Linked DNA regions of Mytilus edulis. Each later gene encodes a partner of the first gene's protein in a complex. Links are inferred from orthologs where the notes say so. Each region holds a gene or a part of one and is shown on either strand. Other genes may lie near its edges.

Region 1 (7,691 bases):
TATCGATCTATCTTTTTCCTTATATTTTGTCACTGAACTTTTTAATAAAATTGTTGATTATATTACTTAAAGAATGAATATAAATTTTATGACACTAAGAAAACCATTTTTTGAAATATGTGGTAGAAAAACTGGAGTTATTATTTTAAGTAATATCGTATTCATGATACTAGTACATGTAAACCTGAACAAATTACATTGAAACATTTACCAATAAAAATTGTCCTTAATTTTGAGTCCATAAATCAGTTGTAAATGGTGCAAAAGACATTATATAGCAACATAGTATTTTTCGTAGAACATTACGAAGAGTTAGAAAGACATATTCATATTGCATTAGACTACGTGTAAATATAGCGTCAAATTATTGCCGTTATCAGTAAACAAAATACGCTGTGTTGTAAGAAGTTTTTCTAGCATTGCTGTACGACAAAAGGATTAATGGATCGATATTGGTTAACATTACCCCTCGTAGATTATATTATACTACTCGCATGCACGTGCAATACACAAATTAACTCGCGACAATATTTACCAATATTAATGTAATAACAATATCTAGTGACATAATAATAATAAACGAACAAGATGAAATAACATCGTGATGATAAATATTTCGACATATGAAATATAACTCTTAACTATAAAGCTTTCGCACCAACGGTTACTTGCAACGGTTGCTTGAAAGCATAATCGAGTGCACACAATATTGTTTCCTATGAATACAATTAAGAAGTAACCACATGAAATTAGTCCCAAATTACAGCTAAAAATTCTCAAAACAGTTCTGCATATGATTCCTAAAACATTCGTTGATATTAAGTGTATACATCAATAATTTCCAAAAGTTAAATGACGGCTCCCACTTCGTTCTACGGTTGGCACGGTAGCAAATCGGGAAACCTCTGATAAGGCCCGGTAACTCGAATAATTACAGCACCCCCTTACGGTCATTGTCCTCGAAGTGATCGTAATATAACGACTGGATTATTCGGGTTACTGATAAGGGGTTAAATTGAAGTTCACATGAGTACGGATTTAATGAGGTCGACTAATTCACTTGCAAGTGAATCAGTCATTATCAATATTATTTAGCTTAATTTGACAAAATTGAACCATTTTGGCTGCTAAAAGCGAATTATCATTTCACTATTTCACTTTTATTATTGATTGAACAAAAACAAATCATACTTTAAATTTGTATGCATCTCGTAGCTAGTGCCCCTTTAATGTGCAGTGAATATACTGATCAGGGGTGGATCCAGTCATTTATAAAAGGGGTGTTCCCAACCCAGAACTGTATGTCCCAATTGAAATGCACTGATCGTCCAAAAAAGGGGGTCCAACCCAGGACACCCCCTCTAGATCCGCCACTGACTGATACACAGACACAGTCCACCTCGAATACTTTCAAAAACGTATTCACTGGGGTAAAGCTGATGACCGTAACTGCATTCACGGTCATCCCAAGATGTCGGATGAAAAATTAGGTCAGTTTCTGTATTGTCTGTTAAAGTGTTTCTATATCATTTTCTTTACAGATCATACATTGGAACGATGTTAATTTATAAAAGAATCACTCGGAAATCCCTTATTACTTCTGAGAAATGTGCATGAAACGGGAAATTCGATTTGAAAAAATCGCCAAGATGACCGTAAATCACAATCGAGATGACCGTAACAGAATCAGCGATTCATAACAAGGCTGACCGTAACTGCTTTTAAGATGACCGTAATTTGTAAATGATGACCGTAACTTTTAAAGGATGACCCTCAATTCTAAGAAATATCCGTATTTATATAACTATCTTTTTGTATCAAATGATTAATCGTGTTGGTATACACATAATGATATGAAAGTTTTATCCTATAGGTAGAAGAAAATAAGACGTGCTACAAATGCAAAGATTACCATATGTATCTTTTTTACAGTAGAGGGTTCAATTTTTAAAATGAATTTGCCAAAAGACATGCGTTGCACAGCCTTCAACTGCTCGACAAAAGATTTTTTTTGTTTCTGGGATTCCTTTTAATGACATATAATAAATACAAATTTTAAAAAAATGCCAAAACATTGCATGTAGTACTACACCCATTGATATTATGTCGTCTTTCATTTTGTCGTGCAAATAAAATAACAGAAATATTTTGAAAATATCATTCGAATAAACTAGTGAAGGTGAGCTCCAGCAAAGTAGATCCTTAAAATAGTATTGTACGAAAAGCGTATCACAAGGCGGAACGTTGTCAATTTGTATATATACAGAAATGTTATTCATACAGTCAGGATTCTACTTCTTCAAAATTATCTCCCCATTAAGCCAGTTCATGCTCACAGTCGTAGAAATGGAAGCCATTGTAGGGATGACGCTCTGCCAATTTTGCTCTTGAAAACTGATAAATTTATCCACATAGCACCATTACGATCGATCGTTAATTATATGTCAGTTATATTTTAAAATACAAATGTATCTACTAGCTAATGAGCATTAGTTAATGATCTTGTCTGCATTGATTCAACTTAAAAATATTGTCTGTTTGCATGTCAGATGGAATTTTTGAAAATTCTTAAGCATTTAAAAAAATTCTAATTAAATATTTCGTGGAAGGGCAGACTAAACATTTTCAGTGGTTGAAGATTATAAACCCTAGTTATCACACACACATTTTCATCATCCAAATTAAAAGACTGTCGTCAAGTACTTTTAGAAAAAATAGCTATTTGAACTACGCTACTCTGTTTTTGTGATTCATTAGATAGGTATCTCAATTGACCCATATATTTCATCTTTTCGTACTGTCATTTTTTTACGTTATAAAGTCAACCTGTAGCTTTGATATATAATAATGATAGAATCTGAAGCGAGATGCTACATATATAAAATACTCTTGCTTTGTACGTTTTAAAGACAAAATATACACCCCAAACATGCCCTTACATAAAAAGGTGCACTCGATTTTTCTCTTTTCGATACAATCGTTACCTGTTTTGGGGAATTTTTTCTTGATTCACATAATGGAAGGGCAGACACGAAAATTTCTGAACTAAAAGATTGATATGTTCTCCGTCCGTGATAAAAAAAAATTCGGAGGTTATGCATTTTCTACATCCAACTTATAGATACTATATATAAAAAAGAAGATGTGGTATTATTGCCAATGAGACAGCTATCCAGAAAAGACCAAAATGACACAAACATTAACAACTTTAGGTAACCGTAAGGACTTCAACAATGACCAAAGCCCATACCGCATAGTCAGCTATAAAAGGCCCCGATAAGAACCATGTCGTCGACTTGATATCTTATTGTTTTGCATTACTATGTAATAGATACATTGAAAACTTATGCAAATGGTGTTTTTAAAATAAGAAAATTGTCGTTTTATTTGTTTCTATTAACTTTTTAAAATTTTGCTACTATATCAAACATTACAGTTAACTTTTTATCGCTTTCTCGATAAACACAGAGCTTCGATTCTTTTGTTCTATTTCAAAAGTGTTTCCGCCTGCATATATCAAGACAAATTAAGATTTTAATCTGCTTCCTCTGGACCCATACACATGGGCTCGATTACCAAATATTCGTATGTATTATTAATGTTTTTAATGCTCCATTTATTGGCATTATGTTTTTCTGGTCTGTGCGTACGTTCGTCCGTTCGTCTGTTTGTTTGTCCGTTTGTCCAGCTTCAAGTTAAATAAAATTGAAACTTAGTACACATTTTGCCTATGGAATGATCTTTTTAATTCTAATGCGAAATTACAGTTTTATCCCATTTTCATAGTCCACTAAACATAGAAAATGATAGTGTAGATGAGGCATCCGTGTACTAGGGACACATTCATGTTTCTTCAAATTTTCGTCGTATCGCTGTAAATTTGTGTTAAAATTTTAACGTCGATATCAATAAATATTTCATTGTTTACGAGAAATATGCAATTTACTACCATTGTTATAAATCCTAAATATGGCCAATTATATTATAGTTTAAAAAAAGAAATTTATGAAACATATTTATATCCGCTAACCGAGCCCCTATTGAGATCGACAAACTCAACAAAAAAGCTTTGAATACAATACTTCTTAGAATTGATGGTCATCCTATAAAAGTTACGGTCGTCCTATATAAATTACAGTCAGTCTTTACAAATTACGGTCATCCTTTACAAGTTACGGTCATCTTTTTACCAATCACGGTCATCCTTGTGTTATGTTACGGTCATCTTGAAAATATTTTGATTATGATTTACGGTCATCTTAACGATTTTTTCAATTCGAATTTCCCGTTTCATGCACATTTCTCGGAAGTAATTAGTGATTTTCGAGTGATTCTTTTATAAATTTACATCGTTTCAATGTATGATTTGTAAAGAAAATGATATAGAAACACTTTAACAGACAATACAGAAACTGACCTAATTTTTCATCCGACATCTTGGGATGACCGTGAATGCAGTTACGGTCATCAGCTTTACCCCAGTGGTATTGGCTCTGTCCTGTTACTTAAATGAATATTAATTATGGGACGTTGTATATATTTTTGTTGGTTTTTGGTGATAATTTCAGATCTTGCTTCCAGATGGCGCTGTTAATAAACTTCCTGTTTAAAGCAAACCTCTTTCTTTTTCTAACTCGCCAATAATTCGTCTTTTCGCTGCAGTAGCACAAAATAAATTAAACAATCTTGATGATGCGATGATTTCCTATGATAATTGTGTTTAATAGGTAAGATTTAACATATGCAAATACAAAAATACAGTCTCAAATGACAAATGATGGGACTGGCCTTGTCATTTCGAACATACTCCGATACTCTCCTTTAAAATTATTAAATATACTGTAATGCATTTCGACTTAATACGCGTTATCATACAGCATTCGTTGTAGAAAATATAGGGTGAACAACACACAAATGAAACAACAGTATAGTAATGAGTAAGTTAATTAGAAACAGAAGAAAATAACTTAGTACAGTACATGATGACTACATATAAATTAATGTTAGCTATATATCACTTATCCACTTCCTGTGGAATGTACTAGGTCTATTCGCCCTGAGTACCATCCTGCAAATAGTCTGTTCGCCATGGGTTCATTTTCTCTACCTTTATTAAACAAAAATTATATAAAGGTACATGTATCGAAAAAACAACAGGTCTAATACATGTACAATGTATACGAAAACGAGAAACACTGATGAACCACATCAGCAATCATTAAACAACAGGTAATTGACTTAGGACAGGTGCAAACAAATGCAGCTGTTTTAAATGTTACTTTTTATTTAAGTATGACAAAAACAATGTAAATGTTTTTATCACTTTTCAGGAAGTTGTAACATATTATGGCATTTAGAAATAACAATATGGACAACAGTTTAGGAATGGGACAGTAAGTTATTTTTAGAAACATAAAATTCTTCTTTCTATTTTTAAACATTGTGTAATCACAATCATCATGGAGGGTTTATATTTTATGACACCAACTTCTAGGTAATTGAATTTTTGATAAATTTCTATTGATTTCTGGGTGTAGAACATAAAGTTATTAAATTGTACAAATGTAGTTTCAGATGCTAATTGTTTAAACATTCCTATGGGCATGATGTGTTTCCAAAAAAATATCATTTATATGTACTGCAATTTACATTTTACATATGTAATACATATTTATGTAGATGTATGTCTGATGCTAGGTGTAATGTTATATTAGAAAAAAGAAAAAAATAGTCTTCAATATTTTTTTGAGCATTTTAATTTGATAATGCATTTTTTGAAAAAATAGTGCTGTTTTGAAGTTGGTGATATCTAGATCAATATGTATGAAAAATAATACTTTGTTAATTCAGAAAATTCTTAGTGGAAACCTGGAATACACAGTAAGTATTACACTTAGTTAATAAATACTGTGGAAATCAAATATTAAAAGAAAGCCACATTTGTTTTAATACACATATTGATGTTTATATTTACATGTATGAATGCTTGTAAATTCACAGTATTTTTAACTAAGTTTTCTTATGTTAATTTGTTGTTTTGTTTATGTCTTCCCTACGCTTATTTCCAGAACATTTGCAGCTTTGGTAAATCATTATCAACATTTCTGTGAATAGTCCAGCCTCCTAAACCATAAAATCAACCATCAAAGCAAACCTTTTTATTTTATCATAAAATATTATTGGTTGGATGGTTGCTGAAATATTTCATGATTTTTTTAATTTTCCCTTGATGATTGACAGCTTTTCATATGAGTGCTCACATCCTTTTTTGAAAACAATACAGTGATCTTGACTTAAGGGATCTATTTCTAATTCACATAATTCCTTTTGCTGTCTGCATGTGACAACAGCTTCAAAAACGGTGTCAAATATTCACAGTATTTCAGGAGACCTGGACTGATGATTTGTACAGATCCAGTCATTCCAGTGTTGTAGTACCATGATTTTTTTTAATCTGTTTCATTTTTATGTATTTGACTTATGAATGGACACTCAACACTACACTTTATCACTGACAACAGACAAGAAACAGGGTTCCATGGTTTACTTCTAAGGATTTTGACTTACAGGATTTGTTAGGGATTGTTGTCATGATTGTACATGGATCTTTGGCAATATGATCCTTCCATTTCAGTACACAAACATTAATGTTATTTGTATTTACAAAATCATGTTGATAAAGTTTGTTAATGTTTTGGCCTTATATCACATAAGGCCATAAAAAAGAATAGGTTTGTTTGCCCAAACCCTACCTACCCAGAAAAAAGCTGCCTACCCAAATTCTTTTATTGTCCTGATTTGAAGAAGGTTTTTTTTTATCAGAAAGGCATGAAGACTAATAAACACCACATACTTGAAAAAAAAGAAAAAGAAAATGCCTACCTACCTACTCACTGTCTCAACCTTTGGGTAGGGTTTGGTCAAACCAAAATATTTTTAATTGTGGCCTAATAACTTTATTTGTGCTACAGTATGCTTGAGGAGATTACACAAAAATGACCACATAAGTGTATGCTAGTGATTTATCCCTGGATGCTGATGATTGGGAGTGATTCACAGTGAAATATTCCAATGTACTACACTTTTTTGTACCCTGCACAAATTTATAATAGAGTAGTAAATCTGAGTCATTTCCTCAAGAGCAACACCTGCAAGAATACATGGAAAATAATTCTAAATGAATTATCCTGACAACTTTAGGTGTGATCCTTGAACACAATTGTTACGCTGTTGTCTTTTACTGTATAAGTTATAGGTTTTTGCTCATTTTTGAAGTCAAGCGACCCACTGTATGTAAATATTTGTCCTCTGCATAGCTACTTTATATTGTTTTTTAATGTTCTTGCATGATTTTAATGGCAATGAAACCCAAGCAATGTTGTTCAACAGTTGGTGATTTTGGAAAATTTGATGTCTGTTTAACTTTTCCATGTTTTCAGGAAAACATTTTAACGCTATAAAAATATATATACATATACATGATATAATTACATGTACTGCATTTAAAATATTAATGATTTTTTATGCCCTACCTACGATAGTAGAGGGGCATTATGTCTTCTGGTCTGTGCGTCTGTCTCTCCGTCCGTCCATTCGTATGTCCTGCTTCAGGTTAATGTTTTTAGTCAAGGTAGTTTTTGATGAAGTTGAAGTCCAATCAACTTGAAACTTAGTATACATGTTCCTATGAT
Region 2 (8,284 bases), on another chromosome or scaffold:
GTGTAAAAGAGGGACGAAAGATACCAGAGGGACAGTCAAACTCATAAATCGAAAATAAACTGACAACGCCATGGCTAAAAATGAAAAGGACAAACAGACAAACAATAGTACACATGACACAACATAGAAAACTAAAGAATAAACAACACGAACCCCACCAAAAACTAGGGGTGATCTCAGGTGCTCTGAAAGGGTAAGCAGATCCTGCTTCACATGTGGCACCCGTCGTGTTGCTTATGTAATAACAAATCCGGTAAATAGTCTAATTCGGTAGGTCATATTCATGAAAGGGGAGGGTATTGTAGTTACGACGTAAGGAACATATCCGATATCATTTGTGAAACGGTTATTCTATAACCAGTGCTCTAGCTAGAATTCAAAAGGGGCAGGGTGCCAGTGGAGGGCAGGGCACTTTTTTATGATAGGAGAAGGCACTGCTCATTTTTTTTGTCTACGTCCCTGCGTGTATCACGATTTCACATATTTTTTTTTCTGTATATATTGTTAATAAAGATGCATAAGTTGTTTTGATTATTTATTCTATAAAATTTGCATAAGAAAAGTCATTCATACTACATGTTCATAAAACATGGCAATACACATTCATACTATTAACCAAAAGAGGCAAAATAAACTTACTTTTCTCCCCCACCCCCTCTCCTTCCAAAAGAAAGATCATAAACTAAACATCTCATAGTTGACCATACATGTACATGACAGAGTACTTTAAAATTTTGATCTAGAGCTTGACCCTCAACACCTGTTTTCATTGTTCATGTTCAGAAATATATTATTTAGTGTAGCTTCATCAAGTTGATTTGTGATTAGAGTTAAACTGCACACTTTCAGGTTAGAAAGTACATAGCTTGGACACCTGTTCAGAACTTTAAAACTTGTTTTTAAATTTCTATTTTGACAATGTATAAAACATGGATTGCCAAAAGTATGATTATCAAAAATAAATTGCAATATATTTTTTTTTGTATGTTCAAAGACAGTTAATATCCTTAAGGTAACATTCTTATATAATTTTGTATTCAATTGGTTATTTTTTCCTATTTTTAGTGCTAGATAATATTTTAGGAGCACAATTTTGTAATAAGCTTTTTCAGGGGAAATAACTCCAAAATTAATTTCCATGTTTACGTCTGCTTGTCGCTCACAAGTTGAGATGAGCGATGTTTCTGTAAAGGCATAGTTTTATTTTGATAACTTCAATTCAATTCTAAATTCACGAAAGTCTTCATTCATACACTCTTCCATGGTGACTTGAGGATCGAAAAGAAAATGCCGACACATTCATCATATTTATGACAAAGGTACATTGTCTTAAAATTAAATTACCTAGTAATTAACACCTTTGAAGTCTTATCCACTATAATTGATTGTAATGACATGATTAACCTCGTTACCTGGGGGCAATCACCAGGTGTCAGATATGTAATTGAACTTCTGATAAGAAATCGATTGAAACAAAAGGCAATTTTACCAAAACGGCACAAGGGTTTTTCGAAAAACAGCGTCAGGGCAGAAGGGCGCGGCTGAGGGCACACAGGGCGCGGCTAAGGGCACCCAGGGCGCGGCGCCCTTCTATTTTGGGCTAACGAGACCACTGGGTCAACTAACTCGTGATGGCGTCCGTAAAATTTATGAACATTACATGTTGAAATTCAAAAGACAGAATTAACTTTTTGTTTTTTTTATAAAATGAAAAGTTTTTTTTTAACCGAGGGAAATTAAACTAGAACAATGAACTTTGCCCTTAATTTTTCTCACACAACATGCACACATGGATCATTTTCCAAAAATGTCTATCAATCTTAAATTAAATTCACCATATATAACAGTCACCCAATAGGTACCAGTCCAATAGGTGTAATTTCAGATTTTAAGAATGAAATTGCTTATTTTACATATCATCTAATAATAATAATAAACAGCAGTTAACCAAATAGCGAAATTTGTACAGATTTAGTTAGACCAAAAATGTATAAGAAGGAAGTCGTTAACTTAATCCAAAACTTTGTTTTAAGTTAAGTGTTTATTGTCTATCTGATCCGTGACACATTGATACAATTTGGTAAGCGACGTCCTTTACTCGAGAGAGAAAATGTAAACTATGCAATTTTGTATTCAAAACATGGATCTGAATGGCAATTTGGTTTTATGGAAATAAGTCAAATTGTTGGAAAATATTCCCAGAACATGATAAAGACAATTTAACACTCATTTAGTTGTAGGATTATAGTTCCTTAAGGTTTTACCCTGTTAGTCAATCTGATTAACAGATTAACATGTAGAACTTTATTATAAGTACATGTATCATAAGCTATTTACTAGTTAAGTCGGCTTCATATCTTGACTTACATCTAGAAATTGACAATGAGGGTCGGTTGAAAACAAAACTTTACGACAAAAGAGATGATTTCAGCTTTCCAATTGTGAACTTTCCATTTCTAAGTAGCAACATTCCAGCAGCACCTGCATACGGGGTATATATCTCCCAATTGATACGATATTCCCGTGCTTGCATTTCCTATCATGATTTTCTTGATAGAGGGTTACTGCTCACAAGGAAGCTATTAAACCAAGAGTTCCAAATGGTAAAGTTGAAATCATCCCTTCGTAAATTTTACGGACGCCATCACGAGTTGGTTGACCGTTATGGAATAACCGTTTCACAAATGATATCGGATATGTTCCTTACGTCGTAACTACAATCCCCTTCCCTTTCATGAATGTGACCTACCGAATTAGACTATTTACCGGATTTGTAATCACCGCATGATAAGCAACACGACGGGTGTCACATGTGGAGCAGGATCTGCTTACCCTTCCGGAGCACCTGAGATCACCCCTAGTTTTTGGTGGGGTTCGTGTTGTTTATTCTTTAGTTTTCTATGTTGTGTCATGTGTACTATTGTTTTTCTGTTTGTCTCTTTCATTTTTAGCCATGGCGTTGTGTCAGTTTGTTTTAGATTTATGAGTTTGACTGTCCCTTTGGTATCTTTCGTCCCTCTTCTATTTGTGTGCCCTATCCCTTTTTCCGAAATCCGCTACTTTCTTGTTTTCTATTCATTTCAATTCTTTTGTCGTTTTTTTTATATGTATTATGTGACCATTTAAACACTAGAAATAAAGTGTATTTGCTATTTACTATCAATTCCAAGTTTACTATCCACAGCTAGTGCTCACTGATTTATTATATAGGGGGAGGGTTAAGAAAAAAATATCCTGTCCTAAAGTACCTATGGCTCCCAGTGGCAAATATTTCTGCTTATTCAAGTCGATAACTACTCAATACAATATGCATGGTATGCAAAATGTGGCCTCCCACTTAGGAACATGAAGCTATGTTAAATAGAGGCAGACATTTTGCCTCGCAATAATCTATCTACAGATACCTCAGAGACAGAACACAGAAGTAGTTCCCATAAGACGAATTTAATGTTATTGACGATATAGATTTTTTATGTTTTGACACAATCATTTTTTTTCTCAATGTAGGTCAGACTTTGTTTATTTAAAAGAATATTGAAATAACAAAAATACTGAACTCTGAATACAATTCAAAACGGAAAGTCCGTAATCAAATGGCAAAATCAAAAGCCCAAATATCGAATCATGTTATAGCTTAACTAGATCTGACTGTGTATTGATGAATTTTCTCTGGTAAAACTCTGTACATCGACTGGTTAAACATGCTGAAGATCCTATCGAAGACTAAAGCGTAGTTAATGGATTTTATTTCGCCGGACTCACCTCTAAAACCCGTTGAAGAGTAATTACACCACGTCTGAATGTACCACTGAAAGTTGGTTATCTGCATGATCAGCAAGTTCAATTGTATAAAGCCGACACTTGTTCTGAATTAAGTTATTAAGTAAAAAGTTATGAGAAAGTTTTGATAACATATCATCTGTAGCTGAAACATATGTGCACGCTTAATGTGTCCACTTACCCAATTCTCCCCTACTATTATTTCAGGAGCATCTATTAATGGAAACTAGTTCAATATAGGTAGTCATGATCAGCTTGTACAATATAATCATGTTTGTTCAAATGTTGATCCGGGATACCCCCAAAAAAGTCCGAAAGGCCAGTTCGTCTGATGAGGAGGGAATTTAGTGGCTGTCAAAAATCTAATGCCGAAAGTAATAATTAAAACTCAAATTTACAAACGGCAAAAGTCCTCAGGCGGCGGGCCGGGTCGCCTAGTCCCCCCTCCATGATTCCAATCTTAAATTGTTGATCTTGACTCAGACATGTACAGTACGTGAACAATTTTCATGGTGGTATGTTTACACGTGTATGTTTACAATCAATACTACCGTGACTAACGTACGGTACCCAAATTGCACCGAGTACCCAAATTGCGCCTATTTAGCAAAAATAGCAGCGGACATCTAGGTGCAATTTGGGTATATACCGTCACGTTACGTTCCTCCTCATTTCTGAAACAATTATTAAAAAACATTGAAAAAATATTGATCCGTTAAAAGTTTAGACTGTCGTGCGTCTGCACTGAGACTACTATAACATGTGTTATAGTAGTCTCAGGTCTGCATAAGAAAACAAAGAGACAGACCACGGAAAACACTTTAACAAAACCAATTTCACTACGTTCTCATCAAAATGCTCAAATAATAGTTGATTAAAAATATATTCCAAAAGAATCATGAAGACATCGATATTGAGCGATGCACATCATGCACAAATAGGGCTCTTCACGGTTAGTTCGGCCATATTGGATAGGGGGCAGATTTTCATAATAGAGGTAAAAATGGTGTGAAAAATACGGGAAAACATCATTAAAACAGAGCTGTTGCTTGGAAACACACATAGGATTTCCCACACTTTCATACCATTTCCACCTCCTTCCAAAAAATCTGCCCCCTATCCAATATGGCCGAACTAACCGTGAAGAGCCCTATTTCCGGCGGAAACTTTTTTCACGAACTGAAAGCTGAAAACTTTCGGCGTGTAAATTTTCTAACTTGTGAAATAACTTTAAATGTTGTGATTTTAGAATGACAGATTGTTTTACCGTTAACCATTTAAACTAACTGAAGGAAACTAGATATTTGTTTGATCAAAATATTTTTACCAATAACGCATTTTTAGTACGTGTCACATGATCCAATGCTTCGTTTAAAGTCGGGAAGTTTCGGCACGGATTTAACATGGCTGCTGTGACGCCATGTCGGTGTTGAAAATGACAATGTAAAACCGTAGAAATTTCCAGATGCCAGGCCAACAGAGGCCCCATATGACTAATTTACTTTATAATTATTGTGCAGAGAGTGTATATAGTGGACTAGGAGAGCTTCAAACTGATTTGGGGCTTTCGTTTTCAGTTTAATGGAATAATATGAATCTTGACTCATTATCTTTTGCCTTGGCTGAAATAAGTTATTCAGTGGCCAACTTGACAAAGAAAAATTTTAAATCGAGTATAACAGAAATAAGTCATGTACGTATAATCATAAGATTAATTCCAATATCGCTTATATACTGTTTATAACCAGAGATTTTGTCAAGAGTATCGTTATCAAGGGAGATAATTTCAGCTCGTGTGATCTTGACCAATATGTGCACATGGTGTACTGGTAAAATCAGCTGATATATGATGTTGTTATCACTTTGAAATAAACCATGTCATTTGTTTGTATTGAAGGCATTGCCCCATGATAAATTTATGCAGCCTTTTAGTTTGACTGTCTGAACTTTGATTATGAGTTTGAAAGAGGTCCAGTGCTGTGATGGTATCGGGATCGTTTGCCCTAATACATGTTCGCCCTAGGTTCGTTCGCACTGAGTTTGTTCGCCCTGGTAATCCGTTCGCCCTGGGTTCGTTCGCCCAATTTTCATTTATGATATGTAAAATTGAGAAAGGAAATGGTGAATATGTCAAAGCGACAACCACCCGACCATAGAGCAAACAACAGCCGAAGGCAACCAATGGGTCTTCAATGTAGCGAGAATTCCCGCACCCGTAGGTGTCCTTCAGCTGGCCCCTAAAATATGCATAATAGTACAGTGATAATGGACAATGTATACGTTACATTAATGAAAGAAATATATATTTATATATATATTAAAATTTATGTATATCTATTAAAAGTTAAATACAGAATATTAATGAAATAAAATTTTTGGCTGCATTGTTACACTTTATTTTATAATTACTGTTGATTGAATTTTGATTGCTGATAATTTGAAATCTTTGATATCACTGATTGTTATATGAATTGTCTTTGATGGATTAATAATGAAAATAGCATTTTTCCCAAATAAAATTTTTACAAATTATTGCCAAACTGTACCGTCCGACAACCCACTTGACCAGGCGCGGATCTAGATGGGGGGTTCCAGGGGTTGGAACCCCCCCTTTTTTTGGACAATCAATGCATTTGAATGGGGACGTGTAATTGGAACCCCCCCTTTGTCCTGGGTTAGGAACCCCCCCCCCTTTTAAAATGGCTGGATCCGCCCCTGCACTAGACAACGTTCAGCCGCTGCAGTAAAGAATTTTAGATCAATTAACACTTTGAACTTTGAACACTTTCTTATGTATAACTTTAGTGCTCCTAATGTATCATTTTTATTGATCAAATCATGTGTGGAAATGTAAAGCAGAGTAAAGTATATATGTCTCTGTGTAAAGAAAAAGGATGTGTGATAGTGATTTCCTAGTAACGTAATTACATACAGATACTAACTTAGTTCTCAATAGTTCGTTAATATTCGGCGAAATTGTAGAGACTTCAACACACAACACTATAATAAAAAATAAAAATCAGGGCGAACAGGTATCAGGGCGAACGGTCTCAGGGCGAAACGGAACTAGGGCGAACAGTAACTAGGGCGAACCGAAATCAGGGCGGACGGACCCGGATTCTGCTGTGATCATGTGGAATCAGTTGCTCCATAACACATATGCACTTAACATGATCACATCCTATATTTATTCAAAATTAGGTTGAATTAATTTTCTTGTATTGTTTCGGTGATAATATCAATATCATGAATATATATACATGTATGTTAGACTCAGATTGACGTCTGCTCCTCATATTAATCGACTTCCAAATGGTATCCAGTCCTTCCGGCCCCAAACCGATCCGGCCCTACTTCGTTCCTGCCCCTCGTCGATCTGGCCCCATAATAAATGATGAGGAATAAACTACAGACTTTTAATTAGTATAAATGGATTTTGTAAAAAGTATCAATAAAGGATGACAACAGGCAAGTGTGAGGAATTTTAAGAACTTCAAACAAAAACAAAGTTTGTACGTATCAGCTTGGGGATCGGCTTGAACCGTTGTGTATGTAACTATTTATTATTACACAGGATTAAAGACTTGTTAAGATCACAGTCAATTGAAAGAAATTGATAATTTAATACTGATGATTAATGTTGATTGTCCTAATTTCTGTTATATTTTTTTAATATAATTATACCCAATAATCTAGAAAACTTATAGTGAAAACATTTTGTTTTACATTACACCTTTTACATTGTAATAAAATTCAGAAATTCAGAAAAACATCAACATGCATATTAATACATACAATGTATGTATTTTGGTGAAAAATGTTCATATTATTGACCTACATTGTCGTTTTCCTCTCCTTTTCAATTAAATGAATGACATGTAGTTTGTCACTGGTATTCATGATTTCAGTCTTATTTATTTTCATAAACGATAAATACAAATTCGTGAACTATTTTTTTTTTTTAATGAATTAATTTTTTTTATGATTATATGATGAATTAGTAATTGCTGAATATTTATGATTACTTTTATAAAAATTGTAAGGTTAGTTTCAAAGCAAAATTGGTATCCTGGTTATTTGTTTGAAAATCACTATTGTTGTAATAACTAGCTTTTATGTAAAGTAAAATACATACAGTTAGCTTAGTAAGGCCAAAAAATCATTACCTGGTTCCACAGTCTTCACGATGAACTGCTAAATCTACAGGCCCAGCGCTCAATTTTTGAAATTTTTTAGTTAGATTCTGTTGGCCTGTAGATACAAGCCTGGGCTGCCACTCAGCGTGACGACTGGGTTCTAGCTACCCTATATCCCCTTGTTTAATTGATTTCAATGCGAGAGGCTCAATCAATTCTACATGTACACTGATTCATTTTTAAAATTTATTGGTACAAAAACTATGCTAGTCACACAATAAGCTATTGATATGGCACCCAATAGTCTTTTTGAATCATGAACATGATGAATGAGATGAATAGTTTCAATTATCTTAAAAAGTCACTGT
Region 3 (8,061 bases), on another chromosome or scaffold:
CTAGAACTTTACTTTCGTTTTTAAAATCACATTTTTCTCAAACCGGATGTTGACGTGACAATGGTAAAACATGGACCATAAACGGATACGTAAAATCTGTGTACGTTTACAAAGCTTGACTGAGTGAAGAAGCTCTTTCCAGATAATCTTACGTCTCTCTTTCATAATTTTTTTTTTACAATAGATTCTTTTACTGTATAAAGTGTGATACGATTTTTCTCAGCTTTCCATTAAAAAAGGTCATGTTTAATTTTGAGGAATTACAATTATAAATTATGTGGGGTTTACGGTTTACATGATGATTTTTTAAAAGCTTTTTTGTATTCACATTCACACTTTTGGTTGTCAGTATAAAAGAAAGTTTGCACATTTTTTAATTATAAAGGTTTGGACTATGACTTCTGTTGTAAATCTATTGTTAGTATATCATGTTTATATCATGTGATTGTGTTGTGTAAATATAGTTTAATGTTATGAAGACATATGCTGTGTTCAAATATGATACCAAGCCATTCCTTATGACATGTATAAGTTGAACTAATACAAATTTATGTAATAAAAGTCATTTAACTTGTTATTTTCATTCCACTGCGATTAATTGTTGGTTGTTGAATGTCTGGTGGCAAATATTTCATTCATGTTTAGGTTGAATATAGCCATGCTAGTTCATTGTACGTACACTGCAGTTATAAAAATTGTAAATTTTATTTATGTCAAAACAATTTAAAACACTTACACGCATGTGTCTTTTGATATCATCATGGTGTGGATCTGGTGATCCATGCATGTTTCCATGGCCATGAGGAGAGGGTCTATTGGGTGGATGAGCTAAAAAAATAAACAGAAAAAAATGTAATGAAATGCAAAACAAAATTACAAAAAAGTCATTTCTTTTTACATTTTTTTTTAAAATAATCATCATCAGCAGTCAGGGGTACTACTTGTACAAGTTATTTTTAATTACTTGAAGAAGTAATATTAATATACTTATATAAGTAAATTTGTAGGCTACTTATACAAGTGAATCTTTGTTGAATTAATGAGATGAAACAATGAACTCTAATTAAAAAATATGAGCTAACCTAGGAAAAATCATTAAAGCCCTGATTTTACATCTCAAAACTTAAGAATATTTGTAGGATTGTAAGAAAAATTTACTTTACAAGTAAATTTTTTAGAAAATTAAAGGGAGATTATTTAAACATTATTAATTTATATATGTGTATATTTTTATGCCCCACCTACGATAGTAGAGGGACATTATGTTTTCTGGTCTGTGCGTCCGTTCGTCCGTTCGTCCGTCCGTCCGTCTGTTCGTCCGTCTGTCCCACTTCAGGTTAAAGTTTTTGGTCAAGGTAGTTTTTGATGAAGTTGAAGTCCAATCGACTTCAAACTTAGTACACATGTTCCCTATGATATGATCTTTCTAATTTTAAAGCCAAATTAGAGTTTTTACCCCAATTTCACGGTCCACTGAACATGGAAAATGATAGTGCGAGTGGGGCATTCGTGTACTGAGGACACATTCTTGTTTTTTACTTCTTCAAGTAAATTAAAATAACTTATATAAATGACTGATCAGGTATGGTTATGTGTTCATCATTATAAACATGTACATGTTATATTGATAATTTAGTAAGTGTAAATGTGTTGTATCCGTGTTGAAGACTACTTTGACCTTTAATGGTTTACTTTATACAAATTGTGACTTGTCCTATTGTGGAATTGGCACTCATCATACTCATACCACATCTTCTTGTATCTATTTGCAGTAAAACAAATATGGATGTTTACCAAAGCTCTGAATTCTTGATAACATATATTTATCATGTAATACATGTAGGATAACTATATCATATGTTCCAGACTGTATGAGTATTTAGACTGTACACGTACGGTCTGGACAGTATGCGTACTTTTTTAAAATACGCAATATTGTCGGACTGTACGGTCTGGCTAACATTAAGAAGTTGGTCAAGTTTATTAGATACAAATGTAAATAATAGATCAACAAATCTTATATCTCAAATTACTGTAATATAAAAAGTTCAATTGATATTTAAATGAAAACTTAATATTTTAACTTTTTTAAAAAGGTCACGCTAGTTTAATCTGTTAATCTCCTGTAATTAGCATGTCAGTAATACATTATTTAAAGGCCAGTATGCTCATTGAAATTGAAGGTAATGGATGTAAACAAAACGTAGGAGAATTGTTTTAGAATATTTGGAAACTTTAAAAAAAAAAAAAAAGAATGCATATGCAAAAGAGCATGCATGAACTGCAAACATGTAAATGTAAAATAACAAAAACAACATTCCTTGTGGTAGTAAGTCATGTAAGTGTCAACTTGAGCGAGAGTACAAAAATAGGATTCAGATATAGAATTAAACAAACATTTAATTTCAATTGTACGCTTATTCACTATATCCATCTAATGTAAAAATAAAATCTTGTAGAACTGAAACTACAAATTTTTGGTAATTGTTTTTTTTTTTAATTTAACCCATATGATACCAAAACATGTATGGTCAGCTGGACCGTACGAGTATACTCATATGGTCCGACCGTACGCTTACGGTTCAAATACTTGTATGGTCTATAACACATACATTTTTAGCTAGCTATAGGAATAATTGGATAATAGTCCTTTGCCGTCAGTTATGGTATGATGAAGGATTGCCCATTTTTTTGTAACACTAGTCCAAACAATTATGAAATTTTGAAAGGCTATTATATTTTTTTCTTTTTCTTTGATGCCTTACATTGATAACAAGGCATCAAGGAAAAAATTTAAAATAGCTTTCCTAGACATCATAATTATTTGGAATAGCGTGACACATGAAAGTCTAAACTCACATGAAATCAGGAAAAAAAATCAGACAGGACATGTTTAATTACAGGTTGGATAGAGGATTCTTACAAAACAATAAACAAGTCTGTGATCAGGATGCCTCCCACTCAACCCCCTACACCTTATTGCTACATTGTTTTCCCGACTTGAAATCTGTACCGCTTGGATTTTTGACATCATACAACAATCACTTTAGCATTGTGGCGTCAGATATTTTGTGTTGTGACATCAAAATTTTACAGGAACCTGTTTGATGTTCAGTAAAGGCGGACAAATTATCATTGTGTGATGTGTTTTTGTACTAATACCAATTTTCACTGCTAACGGTTTTCACTGTTGAGTTTTTATTCAGGTGTATACTCAAATTTAAAAAGCATGTCTTGTAGATTGATTTTAGGTATCTATTTTTTTTGTCTAGGCTTACTATCAGTCAGAGATATACAACTCTATAGGGTTATTACAGAAAATAACTTGCGTGTGTTATTACAGATACTTTCATGAGTTGTCTACTCTTTATTTCTTAAATTTTCTAAATCTGTAATAACATATGTTTGTTATTTGTAAAATATTTTAATTTATAATGGGTTCTAGGGAACTCTTGAGACTTTGCGCAGAAACTAAATGCATAGCCTTGATAACTAATTTGTTAATTAAATTAATACATTTTTGATTTACCATGATAAATCAATGAGACGAGGCTTTTAAGAGATAAACTTAGCTGTAATAACAAGGCTCAGTTATTAAAGTAATGTAACTTATTTTATGAGACACTTGGGAATTACTGGGAAGCTTGCGCAGAACCTCATTACATGCTCTGGTCATTATTTCTTACAATAAATTAAAATACATTGTAATTAAGCATGATGTATGTTTGAGCAAATGCTTTGGAGTGATATAGAGAAACTGTAATAACAACCTTTAATTATTATAGGCATATTTTTTCTGTAATAACATAGGTGTACTATGCAAAATTGGCAAACTATGAACTGTTATATCTTTCTATAGTTAAGTATACATAAGGACAATAGTAATACCAATAGAACTTGTATACATTTTAACTAAACTAATGATGTATATTGTCCCTTTGAAACATGTAACATACATATGTTATCACAGTTCTTTGATTTTTTAGTCCACAATAACAAATGTCTGTTATTTTTCTGTAATAACCCTATAGAGTTATATTCCTGACTGTACTATGGTTTTTTACTGTTTCCGATTACTTTGCGATTTTTGTATGTCAAAAAACAGCGTCATATGTTTTCATATACTCATGAACGTCTTTAAAAAGCGACGTTGAATATGTTTTAAATTCTTCAAGTTGTCATGGTTGTAGAGGTGTTGTTGTTCTAAATATAGAAACCGAAAAACATGCCACAATGTACGATCATGACGATTATGCAGTCGAAACCAACGAAATGTGGTTGATACGAAAACATATGACATACGAAAACATATGACACGAGGATATATGAAATAGCGATAAGATGTACCAGACCCCTTATGGCCCTTGGGTACCAGAAATGAGTTGAAGGGTGCATTTTCTGATTTATTGATTGCATGTAAGAAAGGTTGGCATGTATGTTGTAAAATGCTTGTTTTCAAATCTTTTAAGACTCACTTGGCTCAGTCTTTTGTTTTTGAGTAGGCACTCCTAACATTCTCATTACAATAGGATGGAAAAACTTAGGATACAGTGCCGTAAAACATGCTACAATGACGACAACAGTAACAATAAGTCTGACAGAAGACAGTCCTGTAGCAGACTGGTGTGTATGCCCAACTTTAGTGCTTGCAACCTTTTCCATTTCTGACAGCAGAAAGGCCAACGAGAAAAGTAAACAAAACGAAATCTCGTTTGAAGATCACGTGATCGATCAATATTAAGCTAATTTGATACGTGGACCTATCCTTTATGTAGTGGAATCAATCAAATATAATTTATTGAATTGATTTAAACAAATATGTACAAAATTTCCGTATTGTAATAACTTAGGATTATGTTTGTCGATATGAAATAACGTAATCTCACGTTACAAAATAAAATGGCGCTCTCCTTGAAAGAGCTTGCATCTTTGCTCAGGTACTAAGTTACTTTATCTGATACTAGAAATACAAAAAAATAAAAAGAACCTGTTAAAAATTACAAACACTATGGTACAACTACTTTACGATGCACGTAACCTCTTATTGATAACTGATAAATATGAAATTATAAAATTTGTGTGGGTAAATTACTAAGGGAGATAATTCTGTTGAGCAAATTCAATGAATGGTATTTGTCTAAATCATTCATTGTCATTAGCTGATTATGTCGACAATTTGTATTGCCACTTTTTTAAAAAATTTTTTAGCAGTTGACACATAATTATTTACAGCCCCATTTTAGTTACTAAGTTAGTCCGAGATTACTCTGACGTCCTACAGCTGTTTTGCCAGACAAGCTGGGGCCGTGGGACGTCAGAGCTCGTCCCATATCAAAAAGTGGATATTTGCCCACCCAAAATAGATGCGCTGCTTCGTCGCTTCTGGTGCCGACTGACGGCCTTGGAATTTTATAAATCGGGCAGCAATCTGTTCATTTTTCATTGCGTACAATGGGAGGCAACTCTCATTGTACATAATTGATGACGCCTTGTAAGAATTGCTTCCCTTTGATGTTTCATCCGGGTTCGTATTGCCATGTGGTTTTGGGCGGAAGAGCATGTTCCAGGCCACTTTTATTATGTAATTGATATAAAACATTTTTTTTTTGACATCCGATGGAGAACAATAGAACAAGAAAACCTCCAGCGTACTTAAAAGACTTTATTCTATCATCTTTTGAAATGCAGAAGGATTTCGATTCAGTTACAGAAGCTGGAGATATAATTAATTCTGAAAACGTGGTTCATCGTCAGACATCAACACCGAAATCAGACGAAGCATGTGCTGGCGTTCGTCCAAAATTACCTTCATCTACGAACATTGTGAGTGAACTTGATAAGACAATTCAAGAATTAACAATACAAAACAAAATTTTGGAACGTGATTTGTTGGCGAAACAACACGAGCTCCTTGTAGCCAAGAAAACATCCGGTGGTGAATCTTCAAGAACCAAAGCGAAGGACAATGGTAAAAAAGTTAAAACATTAAAGCTTCCATCGCTTAATGAGTTACGGAATCAAGATAAAGTTGGAAAACAGGATAAAGAGCTTACTCGACAGCTGCTTAATCAATCTTCGTCCTCTTCCGATGATTCTGATTCTGATTCTTCAAATGATAACGACGAGGATAAGGACAAAGCTCAAATCAAAGGTAATGATTTACCATATGTTATATTCAAAGATAAACAAAAAAGAACAGCAGTTTCCGGTGAAGCAAGAGCTGCTAAGGATAGAGTTAAATATGATGTGCCATGGCCACACGAGCATGCACAAACCAAATCGGTCAATTATTCTGATAAAGATTTCGGTCTAGCACAACTAGTCAGAGGTGAAACATTCATTATGCATAACATTGAAAAACAAGCCATTTCTGTGCACAGACAAAAACATCTCATTAATTTGCTTTATCTCGTTGAAAAATACCCCTTTGCGGAGATAAAGGATTTTCACGCCGAAGTTTTGCGTTCCATAGAAAGAGGTCACAAAAATTGGTCGCATGCATTTGTTGAAGAACAAGGCCGTACTCTCGTCACCCCCCTCACTTCGTCTTCGTCTACCCCGACTAAAGCATTTTTCAAGGATAAGCCGGTTAATCGCAATCCAATTTGCGGCGCATATCAAGCGGGAAACTGTAGTCGATCCGGAGATCATTTTGGAGCCTATGGAGACAAAAAACTATTGCATGTTTGCAGAAAGTGCGTCCGTAAAGGAAAAGATTCGAGTGATGCGTCTGTGCTACATCCTTCGAAGGATTGTCCGCATCATCAATGATGTTCAACTTCAGTGCTACATTGTGAATCTACTAAAATGATCAGTAATAGTATTATTCAAAAGAAATTATATTCCCCTGTAATTACAGGTGTGTTACTGTGTGATAATTACGAAAATGATGTTGTGAAACCTCCTGCAATTATGTCAGGTGCGATTGCTTCCCCTGATTATTCAGGTGTGTATGATGAGTTAACGAAATCTTATTCCCCTGCAAATATAGGTGTGTTGTTTGATAATTCACAAGATTCCTTAGGAATATCCTCTGCATATGAGGCAGATGTTTTGAGTAATATTTATGATGTTTCGTCATGTGAATCTATAGGCGAGTCAAGTTCCGTAGGTTTTAATTTAACAGGCGTTGGTTATTGTGACAATGCTTGTAGTGAAAAAACGTCCCCTGTGTTTACAGGTGTGTCTATTTATGAAAATGATTCATATTTATTGCAATCTTTATTATGTAGAACTGATTTTGACACTGTTGTCAAAGATAACAATTACATGAATTACAATGTTGTTGATGAAACTAATAATGTACTTTTAGCTTCAAGTATTTGTCCTTGGTTTACGAAAACAGCAGGGTCTATTGATTTTGAGTATTCACCAGATATGAGTGGAAATGTTTTGAAAGATGTATCAACCAAATTTTGTGAAATGAATATAAATAATTTTTCAAGTGTTCATGAAGCCGTGTTCTACAGTGGCAAGCCGAATTTTGCATATTGTAAAATTCCAGTACGTTCTAATTTCAACATACAATTGTGGGAACAACTTTTAGAAGATTATCATGATAAAATAGTCGTTGAATTTTTGAAGTATGGATGGCCGTTAAACTATATCAAAGATACACTGCCCGATCCCCCCACACGTCGACAAAATCATCTTAATCAGTTTTCAAGTTTTATTGATTCATATATTTCAAAAGAATCAGACCTTGGGGCTATTTATGGTCCTTTCCGAAAGAACCCTCTCTGTTGTCATTTAACATTATCACCATTATTCACAGTTCCTAAGGGAGATTCCGATAGGAGAGTAATTGTTGACTGTTCGCATGGCAATAATTTGTCCATAAATGAAGGCATACCTTCGGACACCTTTTTGAATGAAACTTTTAAACTTTATTATCCTAGACACGAAGAATTTATTGCTTTGCTCTTGAATCACGGTCGTGGGTGTGCCATTTGGAAGTTGGATTTGTCCCGGGCTTTTCGTCAGCTAGTATTAGATCCGCACGACTTGCATTTACAAGGTTATGAATGGAGGGGACAAATTTTTATTGACAATCGTCTTATT

The links. The genes of interacting proteins can lie anywhere in the genome.
Region 2: the proteins of CCR4-NOT transcription complex subunit 2-like (region 1) and CCR4-NOT transcription complex subunit 1-like are in contact, whole or in part, in a crystal structure (PDB 5FU7), measured with the Homo sapiens proteins. The link is inferred for Mytilus edulis from reciprocal best matches to the Homo sapiens genes CNOT2 and CNOT1. Residues at the interface, in NP_001186231.1 of Homo sapiens: Met350, Val351, Asp353, Gln354, Phe355, Gly356, Met357, Ile358, Gly359, Leu360, Leu361, Phe363, Ile364, Arg365, Gly372, Met373, Val374, Leu376, Ala377, Leu378, Gly379, Ser380, Asp381, Leu382, Leu385, Leu387, Asn388, Leu389, Ser391, Glu393; in NP_057368.3 of Homo sapiens: His1864, Ser1865, Ala1866, Ala1867, Arg1870, Asp1871, Gln1917, Pro1921, Ala1923, Pro1925, Ala2003, Tyr2036, Leu2039, Glu2040, Ser2043, Arg2045, Ile2048, Ala2049, Ala2053, His2054, Leu2079, Leu2084, Lys2086, Gln2089, Ile2090, Leu2091, Tyr2092, Lys2093, Gly2094, Leu2096.
Region 3: CCR4-NOT transcription complex subunit 2-like (region 1) and CCR4-NOT transcription complex subunit 11-like share a complex: the UniProt entries of both Homo sapiens proteins name them as parts of the CCR4-NOT complex. The link is inferred for Mytilus edulis from reciprocal best matches to the Homo sapiens genes CNOT2 and CNOT11.

What each region holds. Positions count from the first base shown.
Region 1 is NC_092353.1:84,019,198-84,026,888, forward strand, and holds the start of CCR4-NOT transcription complex subunit 2-like, read left to right. Parts: upstream 1-4,571; 5' UTR 4,572-4,727; intron 4,728-5,330; 5' UTR 5,331-5,346; coding exon 5,347-5,393; intron 5,394-5,850; coding exon 5,851-5,880; intron 5,881-7,691. UniProt on the Homo sapiens protein: Component of the CCR4-NOT complex which is one of the major cellular mRNA deadenylases and is linked to various cellular processes including bulk mRNA degradation, miRNA-mediated repression, translational repression during translational initiation and general transcription regulation.
Region 2 is NC_092348.1:63,139,680-63,147,963, reverse strand, and holds the start of CCR4-NOT transcription complex subunit 1-like, read left to right. Parts: upstream 1-5,012; 5' UTR 5,013-5,371; coding exon 5,372-5,473; intron 5,474-8,284.
Region 3 is NC_092350.1:62,779,286-62,787,346, forward strand, and holds the start of CCR4-NOT transcription complex subunit 11-like, read left to right. Parts: upstream 1-4,789; 5' UTR 4,790-4,899; coding exon 4,900-4,937; intron 4,938-8,061. Other genes in the region: resistance to inhibitors of cholinesterase protein 3-like, read right to left, coding at 737-828, 4,476-4,662. UniProt on the Homo sapiens protein: Component of the CCR4-NOT complex which is one of the major cellular mRNA deadenylases and is linked to various cellular processes including bulk mRNA degradation, miRNA-mediated repression, translational repression during translational initiation and general transcription regulation.